Linked DNA regions of Arabidopsis thaliana. The protein of the gene in region 4 interacts with the protein of the main gene of each other region in a pairwise test. Each region holds a gene or a part of one and is shown on either strand. Other genes may lie near its edges.

What was found.
Region 1: the proteins of NF-YB3 (region 4) and NF-YC11 interact in a two-hybrid assay, tested with the Arabidopsis thaliana proteins (2 studies listed by BioGRID).
Region 2: the proteins of NF-YB3 (region 4) and NF-YA3 interact in a two-hybrid assay, tested with the Arabidopsis thaliana proteins (2 studies listed by BioGRID).
Region 3: the proteins of NF-YB3 (region 4) and NF-YA1 interact in a two-hybrid assay, tested with the Arabidopsis thaliana proteins (one study listed by BioGRID).

Annotation. Positions count from the first base shown.
Region 1 is NC_003074.8:3,955,951-3,961,075, reverse strand, and holds NF-YC11 (nuclear factor Y, subunit C11), read right to left. Parts: upstream 3,314-5,125; 5' UTR 3,012-3,313; coding exon 2,979-3,011; intron 2,242-2,978; coding exon 2,169-2,241; intron 2,078-2,168; coding exon 1,984-2,077; intron 1,666-1,983; coding exon 1,531-1,665; intron 1,443-1,530; coding exon 1,385-1,442; intron 1,287-1,384; coding exon 798-1,286; 3' UTR 604-797; downstream 1-603. Other genes in the region: CYSB (cystatin B), read left to right, coding at 1-130, 416-553; AT3G12470 (Polynucleotidyl transferase, ribonuclease H-like superfamily protein), read left to right, coding at 4,291-4,953.
Region 2 is NC_003070.9:27,404,959-27,409,524, forward strand, and holds NF-YA3 (nuclear factor Y, subunit A3), read right to left. Parts: upstream 2,583-4,566; 5' UTR 2,324-2,582; intron 2,173-2,323; 5' UTR 2,131-2,172; coding exon 1,833-2,130; intron 1,722-1,832; coding exon 1,630-1,721; intron 1,549-1,629; coding exon 1,474-1,548; intron 1,386-1,473; coding exon 1,212-1,385; intron 1,128-1,211; coding exon 741-1,127; 3' UTR 503-740; downstream 1-502. Other genes in the region: AT1G72840 (Disease resistance protein (TIR-NBS-LRR class)), read right to left, coding at 4,546-4,566. UniProt on the Arabidopsis thaliana protein: Stimulates the transcription of various genes by recognizing and binding to a CCAAT motif in promoters.
Region 3 is NC_003076.8:4,050,155-4,055,751, forward strand, and holds NF-YA1 (nuclear factor Y, subunit A1), read right to left. Parts: upstream 3,516-5,597; 5' UTR 3,124-3,515; intron 2,810-3,123; 5' UTR 2,808-2,809; coding exon 2,531-2,807; intron 2,178-2,530; coding exon 2,077-2,177; intron 1,926-2,076; coding exon 1,854-1,925; intron 1,543-1,853; coding exon 1,378-1,542; intron 1,197-1,377; coding exon 993-1,196; 3' UTR 626-992; downstream 1-625. UniProt on the Arabidopsis thaliana protein: Stimulates the transcription of various genes by recognizing and binding to a CCAAT motif in promoters.
Region 4 is NC_003075.7:8,342,402-8,345,888, reverse strand, and holds NF-YB3 (nuclear factor Y, subunit B3), read right to left. Parts: upstream 1,541-3,487; 5' UTR 1,227-1,540; coding exon 741-1,226; 3' UTR 565-740; downstream 1-564. Other genes in the region: AT4G14530 (agamous-like MADS-box protein), read left to right, coding at 2,006-2,413; AT4G14520 (DNA-directed RNA polymerase II-like protein), read right to left, coding at 2,816-3,418. UniProt on the Arabidopsis thaliana protein: Component of the NF-Y/HAP transcription factor complex. The NF-Y complex stimulates the transcription of various genes by recognizing and binding to a CCAAT motif in promoters.

The DNA.
Region 1 (5,125 bases), on a different chromosome or scaffold from region 4:
ATGGAGGGAAGTTCCCGGAGATGATCCAGAAGTGAAGCATGTTGCTGAGCAGGCTGTCAAGACCATTCAGCAGAGGTCTAACTCCTTGTTCCCTTATGAACTTCTGGAGGTTGTGCATGCTAAAGCTGAGGTATGGCTTTAATTTACTATATACTCTATCTTCGATCTTAATTGCACAAAATGAATTTCAATAGAGAACTTGTCAGATTTTGACAATGTTTTTGCATGAATTTCATCTGAGAAATTGCAAATAAACGAAATCAAGTGTCAGTGAAACCGAATGGTGTTGAAGTTTTAGAAGTAGAAAAGACTTTAAGCAACATATTGGTTCTCCTTGGTATGAGGACTAACGTCTGAGTTGTAATAGTTGGTGATTACAAGATTAATGAGCTTAATATTAAAAACATGGACACAGGTAACCGGCGAGGCTGCAAAATACAACATGCTACTGAAGTTGAAGAGGGGAGAAAAAGAGGAAAAGTTCAAGGTGGAAGTTCACAAGAACCATGAAGGTGCTCTTCATCTCAACCACGCGGAGCAACACCATGACTAGTCCCTCTCCTTTGTTTATGTACTTTTGAGTGTTTACTTACTCTGTAAGATATTTTAACTTCTGATGTAAAACTCTAAAACCTTAAATAACAAATCAGGAGAATAAATTAAGTTTCATAGAGTGCATGCAATCTTTGGTTCATACAATAAATGGAAACAGGAGAAGATTTTGATGACAGAAGAAGCATTTTCTAGACAAACTGCTAAACGCTGCTACTCTATATATCCTATAGTGCTGTTATGACTTAGCCTTCTTCGTCATAATCTTCCTCATCCTCGTCTATCCTCTTACCCAGACTAGCAAGCTGTGCTGGATCCATTTTGCTTATGTCCATCATAGGCCAGCCCGAATACTCCTCAGAGTCTGTTGCTGCAGTTGTGGTTGTGGTTGTGCCTGTGGCTGGTGCCAGTTTGGTCTCGTTTAGGTCGAGGGATTCAGCGTTGAGATCAAAGTCAATGCCTTCTTTGGGACTTTGAAGGTGTTGCTTGGTGTCTTCGTTCGATGCTGCTGTGCCGTCGATGCCTTTCTTCTCATCCTCTTGTGGTGATGACTCTGACGCATGCATCTTGACATTGTCTTCTGGTGGTGGCTGTCCAGAATTGGCGGCTTCTACTTCCATCTCGCGGTTGAGACCCTCTCTTTCGGCTGCTTTTGCAGCTCGTCCACCACGACCTCTTCCTCGCCCTCTTCCTCTACCACCCCTGCCACTGGTCTTAGCACTCCCTATCTCTTGCTGCAGTGATTACCAATATATTCAATGAATCTAAGGAGCTGGGAATAGACACCAAATGAATGATGAAGTATAATATTTCAAGAAGAACACGAGCTCACCGTTTTGCTTTTCTTATATTCCTCGTCACTGTCATTCACTTCATCGCTGATGGGCTTCCTGTTTTGATAAACCATCTCACATCAGCTTGACACGGACTATAAACAAAGAACTAGAACATATGGAACTAAGAGATCAAACATCCAACCTTCTCTTGGAGATGCTGCGATCATCCATGGTAACATCACCATGTCCTTGCCCTTGGGAATGGCCATAGTCAGGCACCTTACTCACAACTTCCCTCAGAAAATCAAACACGTTATATCTTTCCACACAATGTTTTCTGTAAACAACAAAGCACTTTGATAAACATGGATGAGCAAAAATAAGAACTTTATCCCAAATTTGTGGTATAAAATTCTGTAACAGTAAACAACATCCTCTCGGTGTTGGATGCAGTGAAAATAGGCCCTATGAGTTGGAAGCTATTCCGCTTAACAACATCATGTTAACTCTTAAACCACAATATCAATAATTACAACATCTGAAAGCTCTAGAATTTAAAATGCATTCAAGTGAAACCTTTCATGCTCTTTAGATAATGACGATGCTAGCATGCAGAGTTAAAGCAAAAATAAAGGTAAACCAATCTGTTACTTACAGGTGCAATGAGCTCACAGTCTTGGCACCTCTTTCAAGGGTAATTTCATATGTACGATCACAAAGGTCTTGCAAGAACAACTCCAAAGATTTTGCTGTAATAAGAGAACATGAAATTTAGCCAAAGGGTAAAGTTTCCAATAATTCTCTTTTCAAACTGAAGTCAATGATAGCAAGATGACTTACAGACTAAGACAGGCACTGCCAAAGCTATCTTGCCAACATCCTCATCAGCTTGCATAATCTTTTTAATACGAGCCTGAAAAATTGTAATATATGCATCAAATGAAGAAACAGCAACCATCACACAGTGTGTGTGGCAATAATTACAGACTACTAAACGAATTATAAAGCAAATGGTAGAACTGAGAAACACCAAGCACGCTCTGTACAATCACCAATCAGATTATACAAACAAAAATATATTAACAAATTAAATGGAAAGTCAAAATCTGTGAAAAACTAATATTCTAGCCTCAGCTCAAACAAAATAAACCACCATCAACAATAACCAACTTATGAAATCATCTGACGTTTTATTCAATAAAGCTAAACAAAATCTAGCTAGCCAAATTGGAAGCTCTACAAAAAGTTCCAAGCCTATGAAAAAACAATTCGTGTATAACATCCCTGCTTCAATCAACACTATCTAACCAATAGCTGACTGGTTTGTTGATAAAGAACACGTTTCGAGCACTAGTCACCTAAATTCTCGAATTCTCTAATTTACATGAAACATTCCATAGCGGATCTTCATAACACATATTACTATAGCTATATAACAAGCACAACAAAAATTAGGGTGAAATTGACTACTAGGTCATTTGCTAAAACTAATTCGCCAGAAATGAGATACTTAATCTAATTTTCATCGTAGAACACTAATCTAATCCCAAATAGTGTTGGAAATTCGATCTGAAAAACAACAGATCAAAGTAATTTCCGAGAAATTGGACTTCAATTTCAGAAATGATCAATTAGAGACGAAAAACTTACAGCTGGGAACCGAGTATCGAGCTTCTTCCTCATGGTTTTGAAATCCCCAAATCCAGAAATCGTCGAATGAGAAAACGCAAAGCCACCAAAAATAAGAAGGAAAAAAAGGTAAACCCGACCCTTGAGATCAAAAATTGAGGGACGCGAATCTTCTGTACATATACTCCGTTCTAAGATCAGAAAGTAAGTTTCTTCGTCTTCTACTTCATGGATATGCACTATCAGATCCGGCGACGGCGGTTTCCTTGTTACAATCTCCGTGCGATGGAAAAATTAAAATTAAATATATATAATCAAATTAAAGTTTTGGGTCAAAGAAAAAAAATGGGTCGACGACATGGTTATTTAATTAAGTAATGTTAGTTATAAATATACGGCGGAGCACAAAATATAATCGGATTGTTTGAAAAGATCTAACCATACACGTGGCTATGTATTAGTGGATTGTATACGTTTTCTCGTGACAGTATTAATTCTTAGATCTTCATCCACCTTCTCTATTTTTTATTTATTGGATTTTGTTTGAGGATAATGCATCCTTGTAAGTTGTAACACATATGCCTGAACCAAAAAATATGTTTTGGGTTACTTTTTTTTATCACAATTTAAATAAAATAAAGTTAGAATTATTTGTCTTCAAGTTGAATTTAGATACTTATAAACCAAACTGTCGAATTTTAGAAAAAAAAAACAGAAACCACCTTTATTATAAAGTGTGATAAAACAAAGTGGCCTATGTATCCAAAGTTCCAAACAAAATGTTGTGGAATTTATATTTACAACTTTTTTATTTTTTCAGAAGTTATATTTAAAGTTACAAAATTTTGTCAAACCAATATATAGGAAAAAATATCAAGAGTAATTGCGTCATAGCGTTATACGTTGAAAGTTAACTTCATCAGTAATTATGATTTTACATCAGTGAATCATTGTTCGTGAAAAAAACACACAAAAAAAGGTTATGGTTATCTACCTAATTAAGCCCCCAAATAACTGAATAAACTATTTTAGTAAAAAGAAGTACGTAAAAAAGTATTATATTCCATGTCTTCATCAAACCTTTATGGAAATAAAAATAAAAATTCAGAGCCGTAAAATACAGTAATTAGTAAATGTTTTGCGTATACATCTATGATAGGCCTGACGATGTGACAGTACATGCATCTCCATTGTCAACCGTACGATTAAAACTACAAAGATCGACGGTGATTATAACTAGAAACAAAAATGTACCCTATAACAAGAAAAAGAAACCGCTTCTCTTTCTAACACTCGCTCAAAAATTTAGAGAAAGGAAGAAGAAGACAGATCAATGGCTCCGACGATCAAAAGAATCAGAAGTTTCCGTACTCACCAAAAACACTTTGTCGATTTTTTCGGAGACGACTTGATCGTCACCGTTACGCCGACTGCTTCCGTTATCCGCCGCTGGATTCGTAGCGTCCGCTCCTACAACCGTAATCACTCGGTACATCCTCTCGTCGTTGGAATCGGTGTTCAGTGGAGACCGGATAGTTCCGATCCAGATCCACCACCAAAAACTCTCCAGTTGTGCGTCGGTAGTCGCTGTCTCATCATCCAACTAGGTTACAATTACGGTCTCCCAAAAGTCCTCCGCACTTTCCTTGCCGATCCCAAAACGACTTTCGTCGGCGTTTGGAACGGCCAAGACCAGAAAAAACTCGAGAAATGTAGGCATCGAGTGGAGATCGGGAAGCTTCTGGACATAAGGATGTTCGTGAGAGATTCGAGAGGGGCTAGGATGTGTTTTTGTTCGTTTGAACAGATCGTGAAGGAGCGTTTGGGTCGCGTAGGAGTGAGGTTAGATCCGGCGATTTGTATGAGCGATTGGGGCGTTTATAACCTTAACCATTATCAGGTACTTCAGGCGTCGATTGAGTCGTATGTTTGCTTTAAGCTCGCTGTTGAGGAACGTCTCTGGAACTTAAAAGTTGCTGCTAATCTTGTGATTTGAATTTGTTGTTGTTCTTCTCTCTTTATCAATCAACGTCTTCTTCTAATTCATGAAAGTTTTCATGTTATCGTATTTTGTGACTATGAATGTTGACTGGAAAATTAGTACATGTAGACTACGTTTGTAATAAAGGCATTGATATTAAAAGACTATCTAACGTTTTGATTAAAAA
Region 2 (4,566 bases), on a different chromosome or scaffold from region 4:
GGGACACAAGTGTGTGTGTATCTGTCCCATAAGTCAACGTGTTTTGGAGCAGTATTTTACGTTTCTTCTTACCTTATCAAAATATTATATCTTAAATAGGAAATAATGCATAGAGACTGCCTTGATATTTTGAAAAAAATATTCATGAACGTGTGGAAGAAATGGTAGTATTTTCAAGTGTATGACATCTTCTCAGACAGATAAAATGAGACTCAAAGTAGAATCTTTCAACCTTTTTTACTTTATTTATAAGAAGTGTATCAAGAATAAGACATAATCTAATATATACTGGATTCTTCATTAAATGTTTTCTTAAACATTGTCAACTAAATTGTAAAATACTTCAAGAATCCGAATGTGTCTCTTCACAGAAATCAATGGAGTGGAACCAGAATCTGTATTTTTCTTCGCCATTTTCAAACAGAATAAGGAGACTTCTTCATTGCCGACACAAATGAAGCAAAAACAAACATATATAAATCCTGAAAAAAACAAAAGAGGAATTGAAAGTTTATCAGAAGAATCATATCACTAGTTTAGACAAGAGATCCATGGTAACAGAAGATGAAAAGGTAATAGAGTGTTTCAAAGTGAAGATCTTGGTCGTTCTTGTGATGTCTAACACAGACATAATATGAAATAAAAACACTGAAGTTACAACAAGCGAAAGAACTAGTAGTAGCCAAGGATGACTTCCCCTTCTTGGTGGGAACATGAACACAGCACCAAGATCCACTGTCTCAGATATGGACAGAGAAATGGTGCATGTCTCCACCTCCATGCATGTCATTAGACTGACCATGAACAAGCATGGCTCGGTTTATCGGAGTTGGGAAACCTGAAAACTGGAATTCAGTGTGTCCAAAGATATCAGCACCGTCGGAAACAGAGGTGATGTCTGAGCCAGAAGTGGTTGAGCTGCGGTCTTTGTTGTTCTGCAGCATATGAGCTTCGAATCTAGACATGTTGGTCTTTCTGTTTACCTGTTGGCCTAACTTGTCCTGTTCTTGTTCTCTAGCAGCAGCCTGTTCGGATTCTTGAAGAAGTTTTTTGGTGTTTAGGAATCTTCCACCAGATCCTCTTGGCCTTTTAAGAGCATGAACATGTCGAGACTCATGAAGATAGGGCTGTTGCAATAAGAAAAAGAAAAGATGAGCAAAGCAATTCTACGTGTATGCGTTTGTTTAAAATATAAACCAAAATTTGGTAACTACCTTACGGGCTCTGATTAGTTTGTTTTGAGCCTCAAGCTTAGCACGTTGCTGTCTCCTCCTCATAATTGCGTGGTATTGCTTCGCATTGACAAAGACTGGATCAGTTTCTGTGAGCTCTGCTGGTAAAGGAACACGACCAGGAATCATACTCACCATTTGAGGATTGCATGTCTGCAAAAGAGATTAAGAGACTTGAGATCTGATGGACAGATAAAACTGAAAGGTAAATCTCCCACTTGGAAACGAAGGGTGTACTTACTGGTGCCTGTGGTAGGTAAGTTGCAGCTAATAAACCACCATAATGTGGATCAGCATAGTGAAATGAGAAATTAGCCTGAACCATGTATAAACATAAGATATCAGTCTACAATCAAAAGCTTTGCTATGATTACTGTATTCATAGAGTTACAAATACCTGTGCAGGAGCAAAGTGAATATTCGGAAATCCAGTCATCGAGCCTTGTTTAGGATTACTTGCAAACCCCTTCCGTTGAGTTATTTCAGATCCTAGAGAAACAACTGAGAAAGTAAGAAAGAGGATAACATTCTTTATGGCAAAAGGATGATTCTTTTGTCAATGACACAAGAAGTAAAACATATATATACCAACAATCTAACCTGATTTAGCCGAAAAGGAGATTTGTCTGGAAGGATTATCATCACCACTACTAGCAACTTCAGTATAAGATTGACCAGTGGACTGTGTTGAAGATGAATCTTGGTCCTGAAAACTGATTTGCTTTGTAGTTTGTATATGCCCAGGTCTTGAATCAACCTTCAAGCTTAGTGATTCAGCAGAACCGCGACGATTAGCAACGGAATCAGTTGGAACCACTCCCCAAGAGATGCTAGTATTAAGGTATGGCAAAGTGGAATGAGTAGCTGAATCTTTCTTATTCAACATCTGATGCATCATAACGTCTTCCTTAACAAGCTAATTATTCTCACAACCAACAACCTAAATAACAATCAAAAATGACTCAAAGATTAGATTTTTAAAGCTAATAATCCAAGTGGGTGAAAAAACCCAGAATAGAAAGAAACAGAAGTTGGAAGTTTCTAAATTTGAGTAATTTTTTAATTCTCTAAACGAACTGATTCGATCGTACTATCTTGGGTAACCAAAACACGATTGCAGAGATCGCTACGATTGGCTAAAATTAGTAATTTTCCGACCAAGAAAAATTTCTTGTTCCCGTCATCACTTTTGGGCAAAAAGTCGTTGACTTGAAGATGAATTATTTTAGCAAGAATTTTTCAGAATCAGTAAACATCAATCGCACGCCACAAGACAGATACACCAATAATCGAACAAAGAAAAAAGGAGAAAAATTTGACAGAAATTAAACATCTTTTTTTCGAACAAAGAGACTACAGATGCAGAAAGAAATAGATAAGAGATAGAGAAAGAAACCTCTTTGAGTAATCGATGAAGCGAAGAAGAAAAACAAGGGATAGAGATTTATTTTTGCATGTCTCCTTTTGTCAAACAGAACCAAAGTAAACCAGTTTGTCTCTCAGAGTGAATCAGAGAGTGATCTTCGTATGTAAGATCTTCTTCTTTCTTCCTTGTTTTGGTTCGTCTCCGTCTCTTTTACCTTTCCTGGGAAACCAACATCGCCATGAGAACCACCACTACACCAGCTTCTCCTTCTGGGTTAATTATTGTCTTAAGTGCTCTTAATTATTCATTTTAAATATCTTAATTTATTTGGTCTCACTTTAACCCAAAACACAGAATAAGGCTCTCTGGCTAACCCTACCTTATAGAATCAATTTACCCCCAAATAACGATTAGAGCAGACTCTTTTTTTGAAAATCTTTATTAATACGAAATCGTCCAACTATATTAGATTCCTAAATTCCCTGACACAGTTTTTAAATTTTATAATTTGGAGGAAAAACACAACAAAAATGATTAACAATTAAAAGCCAACAAATAATGTAATTCTGGAAAGGTAAACGTACAATTCAAGATTTTTTTTTCTCTAAAATTAATGATTCCTATCTCTACAAAGCCGTTAAGAACTTTACCTTTATTTGTTTTTGCTCATTTAGCAGTAATGTATTATGAGCCATGTATTATATATACTAGTATAAGGTTTGTTTTATATTAACTTTTCCCCCATCTTTTGTTACGAATATAATAACTACGGTTTGTTTTGGCTGTATGATTTCTTAATTTCCATTATCTCTAATAATGATTCCAAAAAAGTAATTAGCTATCTTGGCCACGTTAGCTTTTGTTTGATTATATTTTTAATTTGTATGAAGCTTTTAAAATGTTATTTAGCTTTTTGTCCAAAGTGTATTGTCGTTTCCAGACTAAAAACATTTCTGAACTCTGAACAGTCCTTAATTTCCCCCTTATGCCTTTACTCGTTAGTCTTTAGCCGCCCCTCCCCATATTGATGTCACACGCTCTCCTAAGCTCGTGATTCACACGCTCTCCTAAGCTCGTGATTCACACGCTCTTACAATTTTATCATGGGAATAAATAACACGAACAGTTTTAATTTACAAGTTATAGACCTGCAACCAGTTTCCTTGAGTATAATAGTTTAATGAAAGTGTAAGCATGTAAAATGAGATGGGAAAAAGGATTGTATAATACTAAAACTTAGGTTGGGTTCTTAATCAAGTACCTAACCTTTTTTGCAATGAAATAAAGCTCTAGTGCAAGTCAAGCATAGGAATCCCTCCTTTATCCTTGGAAGTAACAAGTAACAACCAAAACATAATAATTGTTACTTGATGTTTTCTTAATTAGTTTTTAGCATTCCTTTATTCCCTCTGTTTAATGTTTATGGGCTTTTAAGCCCTTGATTGATCCATAAGAATTAGGACACGTGGGCACTGGATATTGGGTACTCATCAGTCCGTCATCATCCCATATGCACCAAAATCAAAAGTTATTCACCTTTCTTTGGACCAAAATCAAAGGAGATTCAATGTATTAGTAGTTGTTTTGCAATGATATTTAATGTAACATTTCCAGTGAGAACACAACTCCTGTGGGTTTGGCAGCTCCAACTTTTCTTTCTCCATTTCTAGCCTGATGAAATACCAGAATACAATCTGGTAAAGCTTGTTGAGCAAAAAGGGCAGACATCGAGTACAAAGCAGAAAGAAAAAATTGGTTCTCTTAAAAGGAAAAAAATAAAATCAAGTCACAATTAAACCGAAAAATACCAAACCGATTATAAAAGCAAACCGACACGAGGTTACATGGGTAGTAATTTATTTAGTTCCAAAACGAAAATTGGTACAAATCCTTGTGTTTAGAAATCTGCAGATCCATCATCATCTTAAGAATTGATCTCCGCACCAGCTACTTTAAAACGAACCCAAC
Region 3 (5,597 bases), on a different chromosome or scaffold from region 4:
TCAAACAGAACCCTAATCTAATATACTCAAACCAGATTAGTAAACCCTAGCTAAGATCAAAGACAAGGGAAAGAGGGAAAACACAGACCTCAGAACTTATAATGGGTAGAAACATTTAAATGGGTATAAATCAGTTGAAGCAAAAGAAGATATGTAGCTAAAAAGGATAAATTAAAGAGAAAAGTCATCATACGCTGTGAGGAAAAACAAATGCAGTGATAGAGAGAGAAGAAGAGAGGAAGAAGACGAGTCAAAGTCTTCCTCTTTCTCTCTCTTCTTCAAATGACAAAACACACAAATTGACTCTCTTCTTCTTCTTCTTCTTCTTGCTTGCGGGGATTCAAAGAATGACAACTCTTAATTTTTTATGTGTTTCCATATTCTCTTTCATATGCTCTTCGTGTTTTTTGTTGATATAAATAATCGATCTGCCCGTTGTAGATTTAACAACTTCTTTTTTTTCACTGTCCTTTTCAAATCTGGTTTATATGCAAACTTGAAACTTCCATGAGCAAACTATGCAACTTATTGCAAGCTGTTTTTTTTTTCTTTGCAAAACATAATGTTTAATAGGTTTCTTCTACTTTCTAATCACTCTCCTCCGGTCAAATAATGTTTAAGTTGGCGAAAACAGAGAATTTGACTACAAATCTGAAGCATTGTTATAGCCTTGTTAACACTTTGTGGTCAGAAAGGCAAACGATTAAGCAAACGTATTTTTCAATTTTGCAAAAGAGAAAAAAAAGGTCAAAGAATAAAAACAAGACCTACTTGCTATTCCTTAGTCTCTTGTCTCCAAAATCTAACACCTAACATAACTCGCTCTTTGTACATTCATCATAACTGTTAAACCCACACAATATGAGACTCTGACAAGAACAACTAGCAAACACAAAAACGAAAAAGCCAAGAATGATTTGCCGGTTTGAGGCAATGATTATATTAGCCAAAGTGTGTGTCTCTCTCTCCTCTCAGAGCTTTGGCTTTTTTTATTATGGTGCACCAGAAGAATTCAGGGTCTCATTAGAGTCTGTCTCAACTTGTTCAGAGCCTGATGAGTTGGTTGCTGAACCCCTTTCTCTGTCTCTCCCTCCTGCATCCTCTCCCGCTTCTACCTCACTTTTCTTCGCAAACCGGCCTCCACTCGCTCGTGCCCTTCTCATTGCATGCTTGTGTCTTGACTCGTGAAGATATGGCTGTCGCATTTCAAACATAGTCAATACAAGTTTACCGAGCGACAAACCAAACTTGCAAATTCTTAATGCTCATTATCAATCCTTCATATAGCATGGGTCCACTTCTATTATGGACTCTACACCATCCTTAGATTACCAGGACACCAATCAAGTACAATTTTCATAAATGAGAAAAAAATACCTTTCTGTCCCGGATGACTTTCCTCTCTAGCTCTGCCTTGGCACGTGCTTTTCTTCGCCTTAGAATTCCCTCGTACTGCTTTGCATTCACATAAACGGGCTCTTGTGCCATGTCAAGTGGCAGAGCTGTTCTTTCACGAGGCATTCCAAGATATGGACGAAAACCCTGTTTAAACCAATGAACAAAATAAATGCAACAAATAGACTCAGATCATCGAAAACTTTACATATAACTTATAAGACCCCAAGAATCCCCATTAGTTGTTCTCGATAATTTCAGATATAACTTTGGATTCTCAGTTATTTCAGAAATGAACTTTAAAAGCATCTCACTGACTATTGCTGAACCCAGACACATTCCAACAGTAAATAAAATCACCACAAACGGGTACTTAGTGGCAAAAGCGCACATACATCAAATAAACACTGCACCATATGGAACTATTGTAGAGATTGAAAGAGGTTTCGACAAGATACCAATTGCTGATGACCATATGCTCCCATCAATCCCCCATAATATGGATCCTGATATGGGTTTGGGACACAAGCCTGTAAGGAAGTTTTGAGTTTATCATACATATGAAAAGGGCGTTATACAAGATAAATCCTTTTGAGGGACCAATAAGAAGTCAATTTAACAGCTCAAGAACTCATAAAGCATATATATATATATATTAAGGAATGAGAGGAAACCACATACGATATAGTGTCCAACAAGCTCTGGTGGTTGTACAAGTGGCTGATCATGCATGTTACGGATAGAGAGCGCTGGGTCATTTCCTTCCATTCCGTGATTATCTACTGAAGTTGAAGAAAGACACCATTACAAACAAAATAAAGAAATCACAATGCACATATCAACGAGACAGAATCTCCTTGGCATGGATAGAACTATGAAACCCTACAATTACAATGCAAGTATATTTCAAGGACCAGATTCATGAACTTGACACGCCCTATAGTGCCGAATCACACAAATGCCCATTTAATTTCCCTGCCTGCTTGAGGAACAACTCTTCACCAAGTTGCAACATTCCGAACGTGGAACAACATCACTTTCGACAGTGATCACTAGGTCATCCAGTAAAACAGTACTGCAGAAATGATGAATATGAACAATACACCAAGTAGGCCTAAAGACCAAGAACTCAAACCTGAACGAGAGGAAGTTGCAGCTTGTGAATCCTTCCAAGTGCCATCGTTTTCACCATTCAACGCACCGTCTTCAGATGCTGAATGAACATCGTTTGACTCGGAACCATTGGGGCAATCCAAAGAAGAGGAATTTGATGGAATTCCAGAAGGTCTCGCTTGAGGTACAACACCAAAGGAGTTGTTTTTCCACCAGGGCTCTGCATACATCATCGGCTGCTGAACAGCATGGTGATTATTGACTTCCTCTTCGTTTTCTCTTCCCGGTTTTGATTGCATCTCTACATAATCAAGTCAACACATGTTCAGTAACCAATTCAAAATCCAATCAAAAAAAAAAATTCATCACTAAAACCGTGAAAAAGATACAGACTCCAACTACAAAAAAAAGAGAGCAATTTTAGGGCTATGAAGCAATGCAGAAGCATGCAAAAATATGAGAAAGCACCAAAATCTCACATGTCTCGAATTTACACTCTAAACCTACATAAGCTCGTAATATTCAAGAGATTCTTTAGCCACCTGCATCAATTTTTTCAATCCCTTCACGAATTCTAGCAAACAAAATTTCAAAAACAGAAAAAATTGAACATACCAGTGGAAATTCACAGCAGAGCACTCTTTTGCAATCGCCTTCGAAGAAGATTAACTTCTTTCAGAAATCAAAAAACCCTGAGGTGAATTTAATCGATCACGATTTTGCAGAGTTTAAAGAGAAGAAAAAATTGACCTTGAAAAAAAATCAGAATCGAACAGAACCAGAGAAGAAGTTGGTGAAGGAGAATCGATTCAGAAAACCCGACAGCCGGCAGGAATGGAGAATTTCGTAGAAGAAAAGTGAAATTGGGCGAGAAGAAAACCCTAGATTTTGGGGATTTTTCTTTTTTGCCAGAATTGTGGTTTTTGATATTAAGTAATTTATTGAAAAATCGAAATAGAGTAAGTTATATGATGATGATGAATTTACACAAAAGACCGAGATTTGATAAGATCACTTACGAAAGTGAAAAATCTTTTTGCCACGTGGCGCTCTATGAAAGATGCCAGCGCGCGCAGATCTGGGATCTTCTCCGGCTGACGTTATCATAGGTTCATTTTTAATTTGTTTTGTTTTTTCTTATATACTAGAAAGAAATTAAATTTCTTTTAAAAAACAGGAGAAATTTGGGTCCAAGTGACACGCAAGTGATGGGCTGGGACGAGGGACACCTGTAAAATGTGGGGACCCTATTGGCAAAAACAATTAAAAGATTTTTTTTTGTTAAAGAAATAAGTTAATTAGTTCAATATTTGTAATTTCTTTCTTTCACAAAATAATATAAAGTGTTTTCCCTTCATGAAAAAAATATAGTTGTTTTAAGAAAATAATAATAATAATACAACTGAAAAAAATATTTTCCATAAATAATTGTAGGTAAAAAAAAAAACTATGAAAAGTTTATTAAAATCATATTAAATGGTTACAAAAGGTAAAATACGTTCGAAGTTTAGTAATTTGGTGTTATTACGGAGATTAAAGGATCCATAACACATAACATTTATATGAGTTTTGGCCAGATCGTCTTTGTGAACAATAATTGATTTATTTGTTGGAATACTAAACCGAATTGAGAAATTTCGCTGTGCATTTCTCACTATAACACTTGATGTTGATATCATCATTGATTATGTATTGTTTCAGGGGAACAGATGGTAATTATATTTTCTCTAGTGAAGTGTTTGTTGTGAGAGCGAAATTAATTAATCGGTCATGGACAAGGGGATACACAAATATGATATGGAAAATGACAAAGCATAATATATAGCATATGACTCAGACACTCAGACACTCAGACACTCAACCACCGAACGTTAGCCATTAAAAAAAGGCGAAAATGATGAATCATACGCAATATTTATATTTAGAAAGAAGGTGGGGAGAAAATAGAGACACTAACTCTTGTTATGCTTTTAAAATATCTTGTTATTTTGAATACTAACATATATTAAGTGGAAACCATTTGATTATATATGTGTAATGGTCTACATTTGTGTTTGAAGTGTTATGGTGAACAAAGTTTTGGCCGCCTAGATAAAAGATACCGTTTATCATAGCGGCTAAAGCTTCCCGTGAGCCGTGAGCGTGCGTTTGACAATCGTGATTCGTGAGTTTAAGGATCGACAGTCGTCGGTATTCAGCTTTTTGCTTATTCAATTTTTTATTTTTTCAGTAAGTGATGATATCAATGAATATCAAAGGTCTACACAAACAAACAAAAATATCGTTTATAGTAGAATTGTTTTTAAGATGCTATGGTTTACTTATTTTGTATACCTAGTTATAATCATCTATAGATATGCCATCTTTAGTATATATCAATCATATTGTTGATCAAAATAACCGCTAAAACGTTTGGTTTTGTTCTAGAGATTATCTATAATTTAAACATAAAATCATAACTAAAAACATTAAGCAAACACTTTGAAGTCATTAAAAATATAATTAACATGCAGTTCATACCAACCAAGTTTCGAACTAGTAAATACTGACATGCAATCCGTTTAACTTTCTTGATTACTATCGCGGTTTTGTGGGAAACAACAAACGTTAACCCGCACATCCATGTGGTACTGACATGCAATCCGTTTAGATTCTATATTACATACTACAACAAATCATACATTGATACACGCATACTGACTTTTTTTTTCCCCAACCTTAACTTTTCATATACATATGATAATTATCCAACATATGTCGATTCATAGTCTTGTCACATGCATCATATAAGTACGTCATTTAATTCATGCAGTGATAAACACCCACAAAACCAAGCTTTTTAAAATACGAATCGTAAAATAGGCATCACACACACACACACACATATATATACATCAAATCAAAGAGAATTCACGATATATAAACACCAAACCTAAGTCCTAACATACAAGAAATAATACTATCTACTTCACTTCAACGTACGACTCCAAATAAAATAACAATCGTACGTGATTGAAGACTGGTGTCAATCCGATCATTGGTGTGTATGAGGATTCTTTTGACATACAAAAGAATACTCGATCATTGGT
Region 4 (3,487 bases):
GATTTTACCTGGCTGATGTTTTGTTTAGTTTTTTGATAGAAACTTAGTTTTGATATTTGAGTATTGCTTGTAAGAAAAAATCTTTGAATATTTGTGGCATAACATGGACTAATGGAAAACCCAAGCTCTTAAAAACCTGGACTCAAATATGAAATTTTCGCATCACAACACTTTAAAAGAAAAACTAATATTACATGCTGTGGTTTCGGGCCTGGAGGAATTACGGGCTTCGGCCCAGAACCTCCTGAATTTCAAAAAAAAAAAAAAAAAAAAAAAAGATCAAAGATCAAAGATCAAAGGTTACGTTTTAGATATGCCCTTGATTACATCTCATGTTCCCTGCATCAAAGTAGAAAAAGTTTTTCAATGACTCTTTTTAGCTTGATGCTATAATTATATTCCCACTACAATTTTTTAGGAAACATTTTACTCTAAAAAAAATGTATGTCTCTCTCATTTGATTTTTCCTCCTAATTCAACCATAAACTTCGATATCCTAGTTTACTTTTGTTACTTTCATCTTTCACGAATAAACACCCTAACCTTCTTTTATTCTTTTTTTTTGAAAAAAGTAACACCCTAACCTTACGAATCATAAATTTAATATTTATTTTGTTACGTTAGTGGGTTGAACCTAGTTTTAAAAAAAAAATTCTGTAAACATTATACTAAAAGTTAAACATATATATATATATATCATTAATTAATAAAAATGAAAATTTGCTTTTATCATTTTACAATTAAGAAAAATGATGGGAAAATTGATGTCCCATCGTAGTCACCATGCCACCACCGTACATCGGAGCTCCTCCACTTCCACTTCCAGCTCCACCGCCTCCTCCTCCACCTTCCTTATCGCCTTGTCTCCCTGCCGTAGTAGTCTTCTCTCCTTCCACCTCCCTATACTTTTGCAGATAAACCTTGAGAGGCTCCACGTAGTCCTCAAACCCTAGCGTAGTCATCGCCCAAAGAAGATCGTCACCGTTGATTGTCTTCCTCTTCTCTCTCTGACACTTGTCAGAAGCCTCACCGGTGATGAAACTTATGAATTCCGATACACACTCTTGAACCGTTTCTTTAGCATCCTTAGAGATTTTTGCGTTCGCAGGAAGTGCTTTCTTCATGATCCTGCTAACGTTAGCGATCGGTAGAAACCTATCTTGCTCACGTGTCGAAGCATTTCCACCGTCTTTGTGTCCTCCTGAATCGTTGTCCGAATCCGCCATCTTTAGATCGAGGAGACAAAAGGTCGAGAAAGAGAGATAGATGTTTTGGGTCCGTTGGATCAGAGAGGATAATAATCGTATCGTGATGACACGTGGGTAGTTATAGGTCGATTGTTTGTCGATAAGATTATTACAAGTGGATGTTATTTGGATAGAAAAGGAAGAGAGAGACTTGATAACCGGTTCTGTTTTTTCGGTTTGCCTTTATTATAAAAGACTCTTGAGTTCTGGTTATATATGTACTTTTGGTTTTTGTCGTTTATATCATGAAATCAAAAAACAAAACCCCTAATTCAGATTTTATTAAATTGATTTGGGCCAAAAGAAGACAAAATTTTGAATTTCCTCTTGCAATGGGCCTGATACGGGCCTAGATCCCTCCTATAAAACCACCGACATTTTTATATATACAATTGTTTCTAGGTTTCTTGTTACATACACTATCTATAAAGAGAGAGAGGTAGTGTCCCTCAAAATCTCTGTGAAATCAAAGAAAGCAGAATGGGAGGACTAAAGAGAAGAATTTCGATTGAGAAGATTCAGAAGAAAGAGTCACGAGCCGTTTGTTTCTCCAAACGTCGTACCGGTCTTTACAGTAAAGCCGCGGAGCTATTATGTCTTCTCTCCTCCGATTCACAGGTTGCGATCTTGACGACTCCTTGTTCTTCCAACTCTCACGTCTCCTTCTACTCCTTCGGCCATTCCTCTGTTGATTCTGTTGTTTCCGCTTTCCTCAAGGATCAGGGTCTTGTTCGTAAAGAGAATCTAGGGTTAGAGTTATGGTGGAAGACGAGAGTCTTGCTAAATCGGAGGATTCGGAGGAGTTGAGAAAAGCGATTGAGTCGATGTCTACGATGTTGAGAGATCTGAAGGAATTGGAATCTGTGAATAATTATCGAAGAGATCATCAAGAGGACGTCAAGATTAACAACGACATCAAGATTAAGAATCTTGTTTCACACGAAACCCTAAATCTTCAGTTAAGTTCTGCAACTTTTGGCGTTCCTGATGATGATCGTCTCAAAGAAGAAACGGAGATGGTTGTATTCGATGATCAGATCTTGGCGATTTTTGAGAGTAACGACAAACCTACAGGAAACTTGGAAGATCAAGAGATAGATCTTGATCAATTCCTAGATTTTGATCAACTCATAGATTTCGAGGGTTTGATCGATGGCGATTACTAGAGCACTCAAGAGTATCCAGAGCCTGCTGAGACTCGTCTTTTGATGAATTCGAAGATGGAAGATGTCTCGATGGTGATGAAAAATCCAAATCTGTGGTCTGATTCACAGAGGTTTAGATGAAAGATGATCCTTTTCAATGAGTTACCACACCATTGATGCAGTTTGAAGATAGCTCAGCAACTAATTTTCTTATATGCTTTTGTATGTATTAGTATTATATCAATATGTAACTCTGTCGGTATTGACCAATTGAAATTAATAGAATGTAATTGGTTCTGTCAACTTTGTTTACAAATATTTCTTGTCGATCCAGTTTAACACGAAACAACCCCAACGAATCTGAGGTTAACCTAAAAGCAAAAAAGTATCTAAAGACTTTTAACTTTTGGTGCCTTGTTTGGGTTACATGTATGGCTCATCTGACCCTGTAAGAGAGATGGGACCAAATGAACCATTGCCTTCCAAAGTTGCAAGAACATAATAGTCGTTTCTTCTCTTGTGTGGTCTCTCTTTAAACCGCACAGCCAACACCTGAAACCGCACAACAACTCCAACAGCAATCTTTGAGAGGTCGTCTTTCTGAAAATGCGGTTTCTCGTCCTCCGACAATGGTGAGTGGACATAATGATAATGTGGCATTTTCAAGAGTGAGAGGTATGCGTATCTGAGTGGTCCTGACCTGATAAAAGCTCCGTTCCACAACACTTTTTTTACAGTCCCTTGCAAGATATCTCCTCTTGCAGGCAAGAATGTGCGGCATGTGAAGGACACCGGGAATGTGAGGATTTTTGCTTGATGATTGTTTTCGTTGTCGATGTTGTTGTTCTTGTTGTTACCGATGCTTTTTAGAGCGGTGATGCCGAGATAGAATCCGTGTTCCCTGCACGCTTTCTCGTGTATTAGATCTTGGAGTAGTCTGCATAGAATCGGTTGGTGCGGCGATTGGCCATTCAAGTGTTTGGCACATATAGCCACGTCTCGAGCCATTTCTACTTCTGAAAACATTCGTGTTTATCTGTTACCTGAAAAAAACACAGGAGATTCTAAGTTGAAGGATGAATCATAAAATCCGCA